Linked DNA regions of Caenorhabditis elegans. The protein of the gene in region 1 interacts with the protein of each later gene in a pairwise test. Each region holds a gene or a part of one and is shown on either strand. Other genes may lie near its edges. The genes, in order: zyx-1, scpl-1, uig-1 and lim-8.

The links.
Region 2: the proteins of zyx-1 (region 1) and scpl-1 interact in a two-hybrid assay, tested with the Caenorhabditis elegans proteins (one study listed by BioGRID).
Region 3: the proteins of zyx-1 (region 1) and uig-1 interact in a two-hybrid assay, tested with the Caenorhabditis elegans proteins (one study listed by BioGRID).
Region 4: the proteins of zyx-1 (region 1) and lim-8 interact in a two-hybrid assay, tested with the Caenorhabditis elegans proteins (one study listed by BioGRID).

Annotation. Positions count from the first base shown.
Region 1 is NC_003280.10:13,055,310-13,060,156, forward strand, and holds the start of zyx-1 (Zyxin), read left to right. Parts: upstream 1-1,842; coding exon 1,843-1,887; intron 1,888-3,489; exon of another isoform or gene 3,490-3,510; intron 3,511-3,887; coding exon 3,888-4,172; intron 4,173-4,247; coding exon 4,248-4,331; intron 4,332-4,377; coding exon 4,378-4,718; intron 4,719-4,747; exon of another isoform or gene 4,748-4,847. Other genes in the region: azyx-1 (Alternative N-terminal open reading frame of ZYX-1), read left to right, coding at 1,659-1,699, 1,786-1,887, 3,888-4,172, 4,248-4,320. UniProt on the Caenorhabditis elegans protein: Functions both as a mechanical stabilizer (via LIM domains) of focal adhesions, and as a sensor component for muscle cell damage (via N-terminus).
Region 2 is NC_003279.8:10,091,480-10,096,307, forward strand, and holds the start of scpl-1 (CTD small phosphatase-like protein 1), read right to left. Parts: upstream 3,002-4,828; 5' UTR 2,945-3,001; coding exon 2,386-2,944; intron 2,299-2,385; coding exon 2,200-2,298; intron 1,300-2,199; exon of another isoform or gene 1,183-1,299; intron 54-1,182; coding exon 1-53. UniProt on the Caenorhabditis elegans protein: Phosphatase which may play a role in the egg laying muscles.
Region 3 is NC_003283.11:13,289,351-13,293,915, forward strand, and holds the start of uig-1 (Protein vav), read right to left. Parts: upstream 3,043-4,565; coding exon 2,937-3,042; intron 1,367-2,936; exon of another isoform or gene 1,217-1,366; intron 1-1,216.
Region 4 is NC_003281.10:6,801,005-6,805,825, reverse strand, and holds the start of lim-8 (PDZ domain-containing protein), read right to left. Parts: upstream 3,039-4,821; 5' UTR 3,024-3,038; coding exon 3,000-3,023; intron 2,068-2,999; coding exon 2,015-2,067; intron 598-2,014; exon of another isoform or gene 393-597; intron 259-392; exon of another isoform or gene 186-258; intron 165-185; exon of another isoform or gene 135-164; coding exon 1-134.

The DNA.
Region 1 (4,847 bases):
GCAGTTAAAATAAGTCGAAAAATACATAGACTCCTCTTTTCAATGTTTGTACACCAACTGTTTTTTGTTTCAATTTTTGTTTCTCACGAATTCCAGCCAAAAGTTTTTTTTCTTAAAATATTTTTTTTCTGTAGAAAAAAAAAAATATTAGGGAATGATCATGATTGCGCCCACGAAACCGCCCATAAAATTCCTGTGAAAAGAGAAGAAGAGAGGGTTGGGCACAACTATACCATCCATAAAACCACAGACTTTTTTTCGCGTCGGTTTTTTTCTTCTTTCCGCTCTTCCAATGTTTTATCGTTGTTTGCATGGCGTTCTGTGCTTCAAAGATGACAGTTTTTTTTGGGGTTGGAAGACTTTTTTGAATACAAAAATTCTTTGAAGTTAAAAACTTCAAAGTTCTCAAAATTTTAATTTTTTAGAATGGTCTAGAATCACATAAATCGAAGTTAATATTGGCTTTAAAATGGGAAAGATCGGCCACAAAACAATTAATTATAAAAAGGATGAAAAGGGGTCTTTTCATTAACTGTAAAAGGCTATTTTAAGATCATCTCTAGCAATAAAGAAAATATATGTTGATGGCCCAGTTTTCCCGTTTTTTTCTAGGCCAAGCCACAAATGACGGACAGTTTTGGGTTAGAAAGATTAAACTTCAATTTTCGTATAAAAAAAGTGCTCCAGAATAAAATTAGGCAAATTTCGGATTTGAAAAAAAAAATTCAAACCGAATGTGATGTCCTAGAACCCGACAAGGCCCACTTGAAAATATGACGTCACAAAAATATTCGTGGCCGAAAAAATAAGAAAACTCGGCTACGCTACAAACATTTTTTTTCTCGAATTGTATGTAGACGACACCTTATAGATTCAATCTGGAAAACTTTTTGAAAAATTTAATTGATGGCCGAGTTATCTGTTTTCTAGGCCACATCACAAATTTGTGCTTGATCTAAATCTGTGCTTTCAAATAGCAATTTAAAAAAAAAATCTGAAATATAAAACGATTAGGTTGAGCCGAAAGTCATGGCCTAGAACCCGAGAAAAATATACGTGGCCGCGAAAATGAGAAAACTCGGCCGCTAACACACATAGGGTAATTTCCTCGAACTCTAAATGATCTATTTAAGATCAAATTGCTAAAATATAAATAATGAGTTTTAGATTTTCTAGGCCACGCTGTGAACTCTAGGTTTTTGTATAATCTCCAACCATAACTTAAATATTGCCGGTCCCTCTCCCCTATAAATTATCAGCCACCAATTTCCTGTCTGCCACGTGGATTTCACACGAAATTTTTGATATCATCTTCCAATAGCAGATGTTGTTGCTTATCTCTTTTCCTCTTTGTTCATCGCTTATCCCTCGTTTTCGCTTTCCTTTTTTTGTAATCTCCCCCCCCCCCCTCCCATATCCTCTCTATTTTTCCTGCCATCAGTCGAATTTTGTGAGCCAAAGTGTAAAATGGGCTCCTGCCGGGATGAAGCGAGAGAGTCGTAAGGATGTGAAGAGACGCCGACGCGGTTCGCCCGGGGTTCCTGTGGCATGCAGCTCCTCGGGGTCCGTCGGAGCCCCCAAGACTCTAAACATACTAAACACCACACCGAGGCGCGCTCTCCAGACATTCTCTATCCATCCAGGTCGCACATCCTAATATGAGTTACCTCTCACCACTTCCTCATTATCCTAGTCAAAGGTATCGTTTTTTTTTCATTTCTTCATGTTTTTGTTGTGTTAAATTGTTTGCTCTGTGTCCTGACCTCCAACATATGTGTCTTTCAGCTTGGGTCGTGCTCGCTCCTTCAGCACTATTCCAGACTCGGCATCCGCTACTGATCTATGGGACCCCCGCCTCCGCCTCCACCACCCCCTCTACTCCCATCCGTAAGTTGAACTGAAATTGCAAAAGAAAATTGGAAAATGTTCTGAAATTTTTTTAGGCCAAAAGTTTGAAAAAAAATCAATGGCGTGGGAGAGAGGTTTAAAAATTATGTATGTTATCCATTACGGTAGCTCGATAAAACCCCCAAAAGCTCAGGGATTGTCAGAATTTCTTATTTCGATTTGATCTTCAAAAAGTGCGGGAGTTGAGACGCAGACATCTCATCTGATTTCGCAGATCTTGCTGACGTCACAATTTTTCTGAAAAAATTCCCGAATTTTTTGTAGATCACAATTTTTCCGAACAAAAAATTCCCGCATTTTTTGTAGATCACAATTTTTCCGAACAAAAAATCCCGCATTTTTTGTAGATCACAATTTTTCCGAACAAAAAATTCCCGCATTTTTTGTAGATCACAATTTTTCCGAACAAAAAATTCCCGCATTTTTGTAGATCAAACTGTAATGAGACATCCTGACATCACGTGGAAATAGACATTTCAAAATTTAAAATCTTGGCTTTTTGGAGGCAGATGGGTTTAATTATCGTTAATTTATTTCTGAACTGCCGGCTCTTAGAGTCGTTCTGAATTCTATTTCACTTCCCACGCTCTAGACAATACCCTTTCTATTAATTCAAAGCACATTTTGCATATGAAGGTAAACGATTTGCATACGGTAATTTATGTGCTCCTTCTAGCACCCCTGGGCATTTAATTATTCTCATTAATCACTTGAAAAACCATAAATTATTGCTAACCATAATCGTAGTGGCAAATTTTTTTTATCCAGCGGAAATGAGGGTTTTTTCGAAAAATAAAGAAAAAAATGACAGAATACATCCCCAATATACCATACATAACAGTAAAAAAAATTATAAAATTTTTGTAAATTTTTTATGATTTTTTTAAAATTTTGCAAAAATAATAAAAAGGGCCGAATGAAATTTAAATTCCCGCGCAACTGAGTGACGTCATTTTCGACATACCGTATATCTTCTATTAATATGGCCTCCCTATTAGACTTGCACTCCCTATTAGTATTGCCCCTCGGAGACCTTCCGAAAATTAGTATTGCACTCCCTATTAGTCTTGCACTCTCTAATAGTCTTGCGTTAACTTTTTTGTATTGCAAACCCGTCTCGCTAATTTCAGGATTTCAACAACATTTTTGCCTATTTTGCAACAGTTTTCACATCATTTCTACGAGATTGAAGTTTTTGAAATTATATGAAAATCAAATTTTCAGAATTTTTACATATGATTCGAGCTTTTTCAGGAAAAAACTAGTAAGCTCAAAGTCAGAAAATGTTCTGAAAATTAGTATTGCACTCCCTAATAGTCTTGCACTCCCTATTAGTATTGCAAGCGGGAAGACCATCGAAAAATAGTATTGCAGCTATATTAATAGAAGAAATACGGTATTTGTGTTTTCCCGCTATATTAGTCTCCATTTTGGCCAATTTCAAAGTTTAATCCAATTTCAGAGTTTTGGCAATTTTCTTTGCAATTATATAGTTTTCTTTACGGAAAAATTTCTGAAAAATTGGAAAATTAAATATGTTTCAAATTATAAAATAAAGAAAAAAAATAAAGAAAAACCCAATTAGTTTGGGCGTGAATGAAAAATTAAAATTTTTTTTAAATTTTAAACAGTTATAATCGGTATATTAGGACAGTATTCTGTCATTTAAAGCAAAAAATCTACCGACCTTTAATTAAAAAAATTGTTTTCCTCAAATTTGGCAGATTTGGTTAGTTTGAAAAATTTTACAACTTTGAGAGCCTATAACTCAGTTGTCGTTTGCTCTACTCAAAAATTGTCAACTGTCAAAATGTTTTTTAGTTCTTTTTCTACATTTTTTAGTTTGACAATTATTGGTATCTTGAAAAAGAACCAAGATATAGCGTTTCAAAGTAATGTAGTCGGGTGAAACTAAAATATGAAATGTGATATGATCTTATATAACTATTTACTTCCAAAAGTAAGAAATTAACTTCTAGGGAGAGATACTACCATCTCGCAAATGGAAGACAGAGGATGCACCACGACGTAACAACCATCCCGCACCTGCGCCGCCCAAGCCGTCCCGTCCCACAGTGGACGCTTCGGCACTACAGCACGCCGCAGCACGTCTGCGTAAGACCGGCTACAACGAACCGGTTCGAGGTGACGTCGAGAATCTATCCGATGGACGATTGGACCGACCGCATCAACAATTGCCTGACGGAGATCGGACGTATCGCGCGAACCTCCAACAATTGGCTCAGCCGAAAACCAGAGCAGAGGTGAGAGGGTTTTTAGAGAGGTTGCAGCCGACAACTCCCGGGCTGATGCGTCATTAAAATTCTGATAATTTTCAGATTCCTTCTCCGCCCACTTATTCCAACCAACCTCGTCCGCTCGGCGACTTTCATCGAGACCCCAATGCGTTAAGCCAATTCCAGGTACTACATTCCATCGGTCCTCATAAAAAAATCAAAAACTTTCCAGCAATCCCGAGAGGCTCTTCTATCAAGTACTTCCCCAACTTCAAACTATAGCCCAATCAATAAATTCTCATCATCCACTCTAACTCAATACGCAAACAAGTCCCCGTCGCCTCCATCATTTGGTAATAGTAATAGTGAGGCAACTTATGTGTCTCCATATTCTTCTAAACACTCATATCCTACAAACTTCCGAAGCTATCACAAGGACGACGATTATTTTAATAACACGGCAACTACGGCAACCACCACAACATCAAGCAATAGCTTAAACGAGAACAATAATTCGAATAAATATGGCAATAAGGAGACGGTTCTTCAGTGGTCGGAGCCCTACGATCCAAGGTAATTATTTTTTAGTTGTTGGAAAATTAACACTTTATGGTTAGCGCCCGACATTTTATGTATAGCGGCCGACACCTCATAGGTACCAGCCGACACCTCACAGGTATTTGGCCAAGAGGCTGACATTTA
Region 2 (4,828 bases), on another chromosome or scaffold:
ATTCTGATGATTGTTGTTTGTACTGTTCGTTCGTTGGCTTGATTGTATCTTTTCTGAAAATTTATGAATATTTTCTCCAATTTTGTTAGAATTTCATTCAATTGCCGAAATTTGGTTACGGTAATTGTTGTTAAAGGTGGAGTACTGAAATCTAAGAAATATTTTTAATTGACTCAAAATTTGCCCCTGATTCCGAATATTTATGTGAAAAAAATATAAATCAAATATAACATCAGATAATTTTTTTGAATTTTTTCACACATTCGTTATTCAGGGGCAATTTGGAGTCAATTAAAAATAATTCCCAGATTTCGGTATTCCACCCTTAAGATGATTTTTTGTGATATCTGATCACTGAGCAGTTGCCTCATGCATGCTCATCGGAAAATCATTAAATTTTATTTATCTCTACACCCACAAAACTTTAAAAAAAAGTTCATGTTCATAAATCATAGTTCTTTGTGAAAGGCGTTGTGCCAGGAATCGAGTGGCACCAGATGTTTCGAAAGGATCCGAAAATCCAACTGTGCGGGGGTTCTGATCATCTTTTTTCGTTGAAATTCGAGATAAGAAAGAAAATGATGATATTTTCTGATGAGCAGCGAGGAAGAAAATGTCTGGGAAAATAATATTCTTTGTTTCAAAGTTGTCAATTTTGACATCGATGATTTGACAAGGACAGATTCTGTCTGGGAAGAGTTCCAAAGTATTGTTTTTGAAATGATTGTTCCTATTTTGCAAAAATGAAAAATACGGCAGAATTCAATTTAAATTCCCGCGCAAACGAGTGACATTTTTCAGGAATTCTTCTGTAAAGAAAACCTAGTAATCGGAAGAAAGAAAATCGCTGAGAAACTTTCCAAACAAACAATTTTAAATAATCATTAACAAATCAATACATTTTTCTATCGTTATATGCGTTATTTTTGAAAGTTCTAAATTTGTTCTTTTGGTATTTCTGAATTTCTGAATATCTTGGATAATTTAAAGCCGTTTTTGGTATTTCAAAATCCCTAATACTAATTTTTAATGCTACTTTTAAAATGTTAAACGAGATTTTTTTCCTTCATTTCTCATATGCAAACATTGAAAGTTCAAAAAGTTGCGGTACTCCCTCCGACCGTGAGCTGCGTATTTATGCATGACACATTGCCTGAGGGGAGATTATTTGCAAATAAATCAAAACCAGCTGCCCTCGCCTTTTTTTCCTTTTTCGCAAAAGTTCAACTCACTTTGCTGTCTATCGACAAGTTTGATAGCCGCGTTCGTAAATCGGAAAATATTGGCGAATTTCGGGGTAAAGGAGAAATTATGAGTTTTTTTTTTGAAATATTGAAATGCACACAAGAATGGGAAATCAGAAGCGTGGGGTGGTTTCCGACTGATGATTGAAGTTTTTGATGGATAAAAATGAAAGAGATGGAAGATTTGGTGTAATAACTGGAACACTACCACTGAAGAGAAAGAGAAATAAAGAAAAAATGAAGATGAAAACACTCATTTCGTTTTCTAGAAAACATAAAAGCGGCGTTATTAATTACTCGAAATTTTGAACTTTTCTATGATTAAGAACATTTTTCAATTGTTAAATAATAGAAGATAGTCTAAAATTATCGAATATGCCTATAAAGTGTTTAAAATTTTGTCTTTTTTTTTGCAAAACTTTCAAATTTTCGCACAAACTGGTTACTGTAACAAGACCAAATTTCCTTTTTTTCTTTAGCTTTTTCTTGTGGAAATTTTCAAAAAAAAATTTTTAACATGTCTTTATATTAAATTTTTCTGGAATTTCAAAAATTTGTCGCTTAAAATAAACAAAACAATTTTTTAAAATTTTTTCAGTCTATTTTGTTATAGGAAAGTGTGAAAAGCATACAGAAATTCCAGGAAATTTTTTTTACAAATAATGTTATTTAAAAAAATTTATTGAGTTACAGTAACCGTTTTTGGTGGCAATTTAACAAATAATTCAGAAATTTGAAAAAAAATTTGCAAAATTGAAGGAAAACTCCCGAAAAAAGATAAATTTTTGTAGTCAAATTGGATCATTTCAGACTACATCCATTTTCTCTTCAGAAATTGAAAATTCATTTTTTTAATTAAATTTTTTTTAGTGAACTCTTGGAGCATTCTACATAACTTAAATAACCCCAAATTTTTAAAAGAATTTTGATAATTTTAAAATGAAAAATCACATACCAATCTCTCTGGGTGGAGTCACACAACAGAAAAGTGTCTGAAAACAGCGTGCCCATCTTGGTTTCCTTCTCGCTGTTGATCGCTTTTTCTCGATTGATGCTGAAACTGATACAAAATATTAATTACAAAAAAAAAAACAATTCAGTTTATTTTTAAATTAACTTTTCACATTCCCGGTTATCTCACCATTGGCTGAAAATGAATTTAACGGTGTACTAGCCGTATCATCATCTTTTCTTGATGTTCCACCCCAAACTACATTTTTTGGGTTTTCTCCTCCACCATCTCGATTCATTTTCCCTCCATTTTTCTCATCTTTTGTAAGTTTTGCACGTGGCATTGCGGGAATATTACGGTAGATTCCAACTGGAGGACTCATCACAGATTCTGGTGTATTCTGTGGAAATGGTGGATATCTAAGACCATTTTGTGGTGATGATGTCGATGGTGTGAATCCATTTATTGTTGACCTTCCCACAGGATTTGGTTTTACAGGTTTCATTTTCCTCTGTGGTGGTGGAAATTGAATATTATGACGACTGTAGTAACACGTTATTCCAGACTTTTCATCTTCCGATTTACTCCAATAGTCCAAACTGTTGGCACCGTTTTTTGGTTGAAGTGGTTGCGATGCGGATCCTTTCCGCACGCCATCTTTCAACATCGGCGGACCAACTGGAGTACGTGGTGGAGGCACAATCGACGAGTAGACGACGGCGGATCGAGTCGATTCAGCGTAGGTCATCCGATGATTATGATGACTGGGGAAGAAGGTGGATGATGGAGGATCGACGAGATATTTCTTGAAATAAGGAAATGGGGTTTTGGAATATGATAAGTTTGATGTTCGAAGAGAAATAGAGATTAATAAGAAAATTGAAGAAGTAGAATATTTGAAACATTACGAAGTGGGCGGAAATCGTTTTTTTTAAATCAATTCGATAATCGACAATTCGAATTTTTTAGAAAAATGATTCAAAAAAATTAATGATCAAAACTTATTAAAAATATGAGGATTTTGATCTCTGGTAATCGGAACTTTTTTCCGATAACTATTGTCAAATTTCAAATTTTCAAAATTTTATTCATTTCCGAATAATAGAATTGCCGCCCAAACTCTAGACATATTGAGAGAAAGAAAAAATAATAAAAATATGAGGAAACAATTTTGTTATTGTTGAAAAGTCCATGGCAAGAATTTATGGGGAAGTGGTTGGCTAATAAAAAAAACAGACAGGTGTGTGTTTTGATGGGAGAGTCTCTGGAGAGAACTAAATCTGTTTTCTTGTCTCACATAAGATACATAGAATGTTTGTTCGTTTCAACGCATAAACGGGGCAAAACCCAAACATATCTAATTTCAATGGTTTTAGAAACATTGACATTCAAGGGGTTTCAGAGGTGAAAAGAGCAGAGAACAAAGAAGAAGAAAAAGAAGAACTAGCTTCTTCAGAAACACAAATTATCTGAGGTATCCCGAGGGCAGAGGTGAAGTGCTTGTTGAAATGAGCACGCAAACTACTCTCTTTCTGTTTCTCTTTTCTCGTATCTTTCCCCTAAATCATCTGCTGCTCCCAGAGCACAGTCTGGTTATTGCAAAGAACGCGGCGCCTTCCGTGCGCGCTGCTGCCAAAATGTGCAAAAGAAGTGCTTGACAAAGAACAAATAAGCATTGCCGTATGCCGTATGCCGCGTGAGGGTAAAGGCGCGACGTGTGTGTATATACCATAAGTAATATAAACTTGCTGCTCACTTCAACGAGTACTTGCTCACCGATTAGTGGCGGATCATGAAGGGCGCGGAAGTCGGCGGCAGGTCTCACATGTTGGCAATGTGCCAATCACGTTGAGCTTTTGAAAAGCAACGCCCAGAGAGCTCAAAAGAGCTGCTACTGAACATAAAAATAGATTCGGGTGCATGAGGTGGACGTCAATCATCATAATAAGAGTTTATATACACGCTTTTAGAAAGAAATAAGGACCACGATGAAAGGAAATGTCGTGGAGCAAAAGAAAGGAGCAGGCGTCACTCAACAAGGTCGCTCTCACGGCGACTTTCTTCACGCTTCAAATGGCTTTTCCTTTGATGGACTCGATTCATGATGGAGCAGGAAATGGGAAAATAAATATTTAGAGAGGTCAAGGGTCTCCAGAAAAATATTCAAAAATACCTTATGGTCTAAAAAGCTATGCCATTGTTTTTCACAAGAATTACATCGCTTCTCTCGGTTACCAAGGAAACCTTTTGAAACGGATTAACGGTAATAGAATTCAGAATATTGTGCCTCGTGTGTACTTTAAAATTAGATATTTAAATATTTTTCCATATTCTATTTCCCTTCGAAAAACATCCAAAATCTGCTCAGAAACGTCTTAAAAGAAATTCAAAAAGCAATAAAACTCACAAGATTTGTTGTTTTGAACGTGTCTGGTGGCCGCCGCAAAACAACAAACACTTTTTATTCCAAAAAAAGAAAGAAACTCTAGTGAATGTATAAGAAATTGGGCGAAAAAATGAAAGAACTTTCATGCTCGACAATGTAATTTCCCTAATTGCTGTATGTTCGGCGGGAAGGCACAGAAAACAATTTATCGGCTGATGATGTTTGACTACGGAAATTGGAGGGAAG
Region 3 (4,565 bases), on another chromosome or scaffold:
AAGGATATATAGATATTTTGGTGATATATTGAGCAATCAACAATATAATTTCAAAAATATTTGTGCTTAAATGTCGTGCAAAGCAATAATAAGTTCACTGTTTATATGGTCAATACGACTTCACTTTTTTATTTTCTAAGAGATTTGATGGTTTGGTCATTTGTCTAGCTCAAATTCAATGTTGATTCTAGCACTTCAAAAAGTATCAAAAAATAATCAAAATATTTCTTCTGAAATTTTGTGCAAAATAACAAAGTTCAGTTATTAACAACTTGGATGTCTTTGGTGTTATCAAACATTTGGTGATGTACAAATTGAAATTTTTGGCTTGAAAAAGATTCAAGGAGCAACAGAATTGAAGTGGCAGGTTTGAATTCGAAATCAAATATAATCAACAATTATTTTTTGAAAATGTGAATATCGTTTATCTCCAAACAATTCTCGAGTGCCGGCTTTTCACCGGAGCCGCCGCCATTGCCACCCAGCAGATAACAAATATTCAAATATTTTGTATTAGAAGAGAGATTATTGAATAACATTAGTCGCAGATGTTCTCCTCCACACTTTTCCGCGCACACACATTGTGGTGTAATTGTGGCTTCTAATATTTGACACTTTGAGCATTGAATGAAGGGAGGGAAAGGACGAACAAAAAAGCATTGAGAAAATGCGGCATGATTCCATTCAAGAAAATGGGCCGAGAAATATCTTGACTAAAAGACATTGATGGGTATTCTAGGATTCTGAGAGAAGAAGGAAAATGGAGGGGGGGGGAAAGATGCCATCGAAAACTGACAAATGACATTTTCTGGATGGGAGGTTGTAGTCGTTGTCCAAGTACTTTGCTACACTCAATTTGTTTAGATTACGAACTCATTTACACTTGTTTTTCGTCTATACAATGAAGAAAATGTAACTTTGGGTCAATTTTTTATGGAATTTACAATTTATAAACTATAGCTACTGACTATGATCTGGCAGAATTATTTTGTGGTGCACTTTTTGTCTTCAAAATTTGGTGATGGAAAACCTTGTATTTTGAATTTCAACTAATTACACGATGATGTAACCTATGCTTCAGAAAATTCTTGAAACCAAACAAAAACAATGCAATGCAAAATGTTCATATTCTACGCAATCGGCTGATTACATAAGAATTTTCCTAATCGAAACAATAATAAAACCGTTGCCGCGTCAACATTTAAATAGGCGCGTGAATCTGCGGAAGGGCATCAAAAGAGTTTCGGAGTGTGATGATGGACATAATAAAAATCATAATAATAATAACCATACGCATGGCATCCATGAAAATGCGCATGGGTGGCGTTTGAGGTCAACTTTTGTTGAATTATTATGATGATGTGAACTATTTGGATTTATTATATAAATTCGGAAATTTTGGAATTTCGAGTTAAATGTATATGTAGGTTTAAATGATGACTTGACTAAATTGAAATAAATAATTGTTTAGATTTTGTATGTTTTCAGAAAAAATGGAATGAAAAAATTTATAAAATGGGAAAAAAAAACTTAAATGAGTGTAACAATAAAATTTGGGATATAGTGTTTTGTTAAATTAAGACTATTAACATGAATGTTGGAGGACTGTAGAATTTAGAGAAACTAAATTTTCCAAGCTCCCAAAATGCCTTGCTAAACAAAATCGCTAGGTTGTGAATAAAATATTGACATTTAGGAAGGAAGAGAAAACTAAACAAAGGATGAGGTTATGTTTCCTAAAATTGGATTTAGTATTAGGTCATGCGGATTTTGCAACAAGCGAGAAGGATATGATTATGAGAAATGAAATTGAATTGTAACAACACGAACACGTACAAAATGATAATTTGTAAACTTTTCCTCCACCTTCTCTCTATATATCTCATTTCCTCAAGTTCTCATCAACTACTAAATCTTATGAACACTTGAGGTTCCTTCCAACATATCAAACAAGCTTCTCAATAAAATCAAACAGTTTTTTTTTCTAAACAATCTCACGTTCCAATTTCTCTTTAGTAAATAATAATTGAGAGAGGGCAAAAAATAAAATAAAAACTGCGATGGTTCGATCAAAAAGAGGTGAAAATCAGAAAAGCAAATGATTCGATGTGTGTCATCTCAACTAAAGAAAAAAAGGAAACTGTAGTAAACATCGACACGTTACACGAGAGCCAGGTTAAGAGGATGTAAAACAAACAAAACAATATGTGCCTTGATGATCGGACTTGGAAATTGAAAGTTTCTTTTTTTGTATGTATTTCTAAAGTTTTAATCGGGAGATGCGAAAATTGGTCTTGTAATACCGATGTTTGGTGAGGACTTTAAATGAGTGGGTCTCAAAGTTCGGAAGATCTTGGAAAATGGGAAAAGAGTTGGTAAAAGTTTTGCAGGTGATTTTTGCATTTCGTTTGAAAAACTTCAAAACATGCTCATGAAAATATTCAAATGGTTTACTCAGTACGATATGTTCTTCCTAAATTTACCTAGATAAAATCTGAAACATAAAAATGTTATGAAAAATAAAATAAAATTTATAATTTTTCATGACCCGTTGAATATCGACTCCCCTACGAATCAAAACATGGAACAGACAGAAGCTCAGCTACGTCACATTTGAGGTCAAATTTACAAGGATTGGGTATTTATTCTTCAATGTATGTAAGTTTGAAATAGCTGGTAGGCACGAAGGCAGTAATTTTTATTCCTATATGGATTTTTTTCGAAATTTTATTCAAAATGTCGAGTTTAGGGGAATGTTTTTTTTAAGTTTTTTGAGAGTAGAAATTATTAATATCTGATAAACTTTAGCCATTTTAAAAAAATTTAGCTTGCTTTTCTAATTGAATACTACATATTGAAAACAAAAGAGAGTTTGACAAATATGAAAAAAATCGAATCACAATAAAAAACTATTTTACGTTAAAAAAAAATCACACCTTGTAATTGAACAGTCGGCTCATCGTCATTTGCACATTCAGAGAACTGTTGCTTATCTTCGTAGTAGCTGAATCTCCTGCGGAACCAGGAAAATCCAATCGACATTGCACCTTCAGAGAGAGTAAGATTTAAATCGGTAAAAGAAACGAAAGAAAATTGAAAGATTGAACGGTAAAGGAAGTTGGCAGTTTCAAAATAAATCTTTTGATTTCTTGCTTTAATCCTATTAACTGGACTTGAAACCGAAGAAATGGATACCTAGGGTAAAAACTTGAAACAAAGTTCCACAAGCAAGGTTTTTCATCAAATTATAGCATTAATGTTCCACTTTTTTGCGTCTTGTTTTCTGGTCAAATTCTATTCGGTTTCTATTCAAAGCCGATGAAACATGGGAAATTCAGAAAATTGTGGGAATATGATCGCATCGGAAATACAAGTAATTATAGGGGGATTGACCGAAGAAACGTCGCTCTAGCGTTCAGAAACCTTCTGAACCACGCGAAGGAACAAATAAATTGGCACAATAAGAAGATGTTGAAGTCAGTGAATACCAAACGGAAGATTGAAAGTGGTGGTGGTGGTAATGTAGGAATGTAAGAAAGAAGAGTCAACTTGATACTTGTGCGCAGGGTTCGTCACACTACTTGGTCCCGTATTTACACTCCTAATACGGCCCGTGCGGAGTTTTAATACCAAACGAGAGAGGTAAACTGTGTTGCCAAAGAGCAATCGGAGGAAGATGCTCCCTTTTGAATTACCGCAATTCCTTTATTAATATGATTGCTAATAGTAAGATAATTTTCAAAGACCGTCGTTATTGCTAGACCAATGCATTTAAAATTTTTGGTTGCTCATCTGAAATTAGTAGTTTATCAATTCCAAAAATTCAATTTCTTGGCTTTTCATGAATTAACTGGAATCATCGAACAAGAATAATAATAACAAAAAAACCTCCGTTCAAAATAGGTAAGTAGCTATTTTTTTAAAGGTATTATAGGCATAATAGTAATAGAAGAAAAACGGTAGAAACCTTATTTAAAAAATTGAAAATAATTGTATCAAAAGTTATAAAACTAGTTTTTTAACAACTGTATTCTTAGAAAAAAAGCTATCCACCTCTAAACGGTCTCCACAGAATAAAGAAGAACAAGCTCATCTTCACCAAATGTTTATTGCCTTGTTTCGGTTTCGGTTCAGTTTATAAGTGGTTGGAGGATTATCGGAAAGATTCACTAGTTCTATATTCTGAATAAGAAATGTGCAAATAGATGAACAACTCTTACGGACAGAGTTCATGAATGAGGGCAATGCTGGAAAGTGTCAATAATGCTTATCAGCTTATTTTACGTTTTTTGGGCTGATGTTAAACCCTTTTTTTAGAAGTACCATTTTTGAATAGATGAACGCAATAAAAAATAATTTTGTGGGGAATACCAATGATATATTTTTTTAGAAAAGTAGTAAAATTATGTAGCATGTTCACCATTTAAAATAATTTAGTTTCGGGATTGCCAACTTTTTGCAAAGTTGAAACAAAAAGAGCTCACGATTTAAAAAAATTAGGTTTTTATTTCGCCAAAAATCACTAGCCTCGAAGCCATTTAGGCAATATGAAATCAAAAACCAAA
Region 4 (4,821 bases), on another chromosome or scaffold:
CTTTCTGTTGTTGAGCCATTTGTAGTGTGCTTTTCGCAGATTCAGCCATTTCGTCGCCGCCTTTGTTGACGGCGACGAATTGGAAAGGATCCGAGGATTTCTGTCCCGGTCCTCGTAGCATTTTTGCTCCGGGTCTGCAAATTTCATTTACTAAGAAAATATAATTTTATGAAGCCAAAAAGTTTCGCTCCCGGGTGGGCTCGAACCACCAACCTTTCGGTTAACAGCCGAACGCGCTGCCTATTGCGCCACGGAAGCACGGAAAGTTCAGGTCAAAGAGGCCTATATTCGCTGTAGTTAGAATAGAGACGCAGATAGGGTATGTGCAATAGTTAATACACTGATCGAGTTTACAATGAGAGAGACCGCTATTAACTTCAAACCTAAACGCTAGATTATTTTTTAGAAATCGAATAAATTTTAAGAAAAATGAAAGGAAAAGCTTCTGACATGGGACATCTGATGTGAAGGCGTCAGAAGTCAAAACACAGAAAAAAGCGAAAAACAAGTGTCTCTTTTGGTAATTGATGTTTCTTTCCAGCTTTCGCGTCCCTTTTGCCTTACCAATAGCTAATTTCAGAGACCAGAAACCTTTTGCGGTGAAGAAAATCTGGGTTTCAAGAGGAATATAAAGTTATCAGAGAGAATAGAATTCGGGATAACTGTGAGCTTATTAAAAAAAAACATAGTACATTTTGGAAAACTATCGTAAAGTTCAATAGGTAATTCAGTCTTAAAAATAGTTTCGCGATCTATAGATAGCGTCTCAGGGAGAAGTGTTCAGAGAGTTGAGAGCAGCTACTACCGGAACCCGGTAAAACTTATTTTAAGACACATGGTAATTTTCGCAGTATCCGATATCTACTGGGTTATGTTATTTTTCATCGAAAACACAGTTAAATTAATCTAGTAGAGGAACCTGGGAACTGTTGGGTTGCTGTGAAACATCATTTCCACATTGAGACTGAAATATACAGAAAAAGTAGAAACTTGTAGAAACTTGCTCAAAGAGTTCATAAGACTAAAAAAGGGTTGATCAACAAAAAGAAAAACCGTAACAGTGCCCTTGACTCAAAAATCATGCCGAATATCTTCTCTCACTCTCATATATCCGGTCATTTATTGGCGGCTCACATGCTCTCATTCATTTGTTTATTTTCTCTCCATTGGCGAAACGAGACACAGTTAGAGATGGTCACTACGTTCTTTTTCCGAGACATAAGAAAATAATGAAGAGACTGAGAATATGCTACAATATCAAGAGAGTGCGTAATCGCCAATTTTCGCGCTTGCATGGTAAGTACAGAGAGCTTTGAGTACCCTCCTTTTTTGCTCCGACGCTTGGTTTTTTGGAAAGGCTAACGGTTTACACGTACCGGCAAACGCTCAAAGACAAAAGGAATGAAAAATGAACAGTCTAACTAGAACATTTTCTAGTGAATATATAAGAAAAGATTTTTTGTAAAACTGCAAAGGAAGTCCACGCCCAAATGAACTGGTCTAGAATATATGACTATTGTTTTTGTTTTAATAAAAATAAAATCCGTTTCAAAGAATCTTGATACTGTTTTTTCGAATAAAAACTTAAATTATAAATGTCTGAACATGATCCAAAATATATTTTTAACGTTTCAATGTAGTAGGCCCAGCCCAGCCACGGAGAAATGTCCTATTTTGCCTATATGCGTTGTTACTGCAAAGCTTTTGTTGAATTTCTTAATTGAAATGGGTAGTTAACGCTACAATACAGAAATTTTGAGGAATATGCTATGGTTAATGAAAAAGAATCTCAAAGAGAATGAGAAAAAAACAGACTAAGAAACCTGATTTTCAGAATATTAAAACCTATTTGCATACTTTGCCGCTTTCTTATATTACATCTACCCTTAGAACTTTTATAATGACATTGAAAATTCAAATAATTCACCTAATTAATCTTGTCACTCATAATTAAATGAACGATTTACATGATCATAAATGACAAAAAAATTATTGTGGTGAAAGTAAAACTCACCCAAATTCGTCTTCAGGATAATCAGATCCAAGATTTGGTGGATACTTGGCCACCTGAAAAATGTATTGAAATTATTCTGAATTTATGAAAAATAAATACAAAAAGTAAGTAGAAACGACAAGGTTATTGTGGCAGACATAAGTTAGGTAAACACGATAAAGTACATAATGAAGTTAATCACTTAAAATATCATTTTCGAGTATTAGAGGTGAAAGTGGGCGATTAATAACGTATTTTTTACAACTTAAAAGATAAAACTTTAAAACATGTTTTACGAGTATTATGTTATCATCATCTTGATTAAAAAATGATGATAAACTTTAAAATAACTAAATGCTTAACTGAAAAAGGAACGTAGTTTGATTATAAACGCAACTTTTGATTCAAAAATTTCAACTTTTTTATTCATTTCTCTTCCATCCTACTCATTTCAGAAATGAATCATATCACAGAAAAGGAACACTTTAACATATCATTTATGATAAAAATCGATCATAATACCAATCAAACACAAAAAAGTCTCCTGTTATCAGTTAGTTTTTGTGTGAAGACTGTGTGTTAAAAGGGGTGAGTATGTGAGCCCTCTTGAAATGTAAATATTAATATGCCCAACATTCTTGGGCATTTTTGAGGTTTTGGTTTGCGTGCAAGAAAACTAGGATGATATGGGACATTGGACAGTTTTGATTCTTCCTTTTTATAATTTCTAAATTTTTATTTTTTTTCAGTGTGCCAAATAAAATATGTTAATTTCCAAAATAATTTTCCAATAACCCCTTCTCAATCTAACAGTGAGTTTTAATTAACTTTTCTGTACTAAAAAATGTTTTCAGAGCTTTAACTGTTTTTTACAAACTTTTGCCCAGCAAAAATGCAAAGCTAGAATAACTAGAAAACACAGGAATACGTTGAACTATTTTGAAAATGAATTAGCCACAAAATGTTAATAAATATACAATGAAAAATTCAAACACTTTGAAAGTACCTTCACTGCGTAATCATTCTCCATCATCTTTACGACTTTCTGCAAATAATTGAAATGAAACAATAAAAAAGTCAAGTTACAAGAAGAACATCAAAAAAAGTAATCAATGTTTTTTCCAGAGAATCAAAATAGATTATCTGAAATTCAAATAGAACACAAACACGAGTAACAAAAATAGAAAAAGACCTCTGAGCAAACAGAAATAGCGTTTAACTTGTGGGAAATTTGATGACAGTTTACATTTCTTCAGAGAGGAAGAAAAATAGAAATCGACCACACATTTACAGAAAATTGACACCAAGACTTGAGATTTTGAGAAGAACGGAACCTATTACAATGGTCCATAACTTTGTTATCCAAATGTTCAATTAATAAAAAAGGTACCGAGAATTAAAACAAACTGTAAAAAAGTATGTTCAAAAGCGGTAAAGAAATCCACATCCAAAAATTCTCAAATTAATGTCACTACGGAAAGCATAAATTAAGGAAAATAAAATTCAATAAAATCGGTTTTGAAAATTTCGGGAGAAACCAGAATTGAAATGAATTTGACACGATAATTTGATAATCAGAGAACGAGAGTGAATCTGAAGAGAAAGTGGTCAGATCCTTTCGGAACAATATTCAAATTTATTTCTTCTTATTTCTGCGTATCCACAAGAAAAGCATAAAATTAATGTCTGCGTCTCTTCGTCTCGTACGCTCTATCATAAAATATACACAAAAGTCGGTAATATTGAAGAGATGAAAAGGAATGTCGGTCAAAAGATATTATGGATCAGTTATCAGATGGTGGTGATTTGGAGATAGTCTAAAAGCGGCAGAAGCCAGGGAAATTGAAACTTGGACAGGGAAATAAGGGCAAAGAATATAAATCTGAAGTTCGGAGAAGCTTTTAAAGGGAAATAGAAGACATTGAGAATAAAAAAAACCGAATATAATTATATAACAACAGTATCACAGCGCCATAAGAAGCCATGAATTCTGAAATAATGAAAAACAAGCAGTTCATCTCCAAAAATAGTTGATTCTCATAATATTTCCATCTTAAAAATTCCTCTCTAAAAAGAAACAACATGGTAGAATGTAGGGTAGACCCATTAATGGATTACATTTCTGCAGTGGCCCAATAAATTCATGTTTTTAAATTATTTTAATATGGTAGATTGACTTCAATTTGGTAGGCAAGGATGGACATTTGTGGAATGAAAACAAAGTTTTTTAGTTTTAAGAGAAGTATACTGAAACGTGTCTAGATCTGAACTTGTTAAAATAGCGCCTGATTTGATTGATGTTTTTGAAGTATTGAACCCAACGAACAATTGTTTTATGATTAGAACTCCTGGAACATATTCTCCAATGACCTATCAGAACGTACGATTACTGTAGGGAATAGCTTTTTTTTTCACTTTGACATGTAGATATGTAAATGAGAAAAATGAACGCAAAAGAATAGGAAAAAGCCAAAAATGCAGTAATATTACACGAAGGATCAGAAGAAGAAACAAGGTGGCGGAACGGTGTCGTCGTCAGACGTCTAATCCTTCATTCTTTTTCAACTGTGGTTTCTTCATAACGACACGCATATGTCTTCGTTCCGACAACTAGGTATCCATCCTTCTTACTCTTTTCCTTTTTCTTTTTCTTCTCCTCAAGAAAACACATTATGCAAATGGCGACCAGGTCGGTGTTGATTGCCCGAAACAGGTGTCCTGCTGTGTCCTGGGAGAAGGTGAAGAAGACACTCCTGCATCCACAAGAATCCATAATACAGTCATTTGCATTGGCGGAATAACGATCTGCCAATTATTTCTGCGCCACG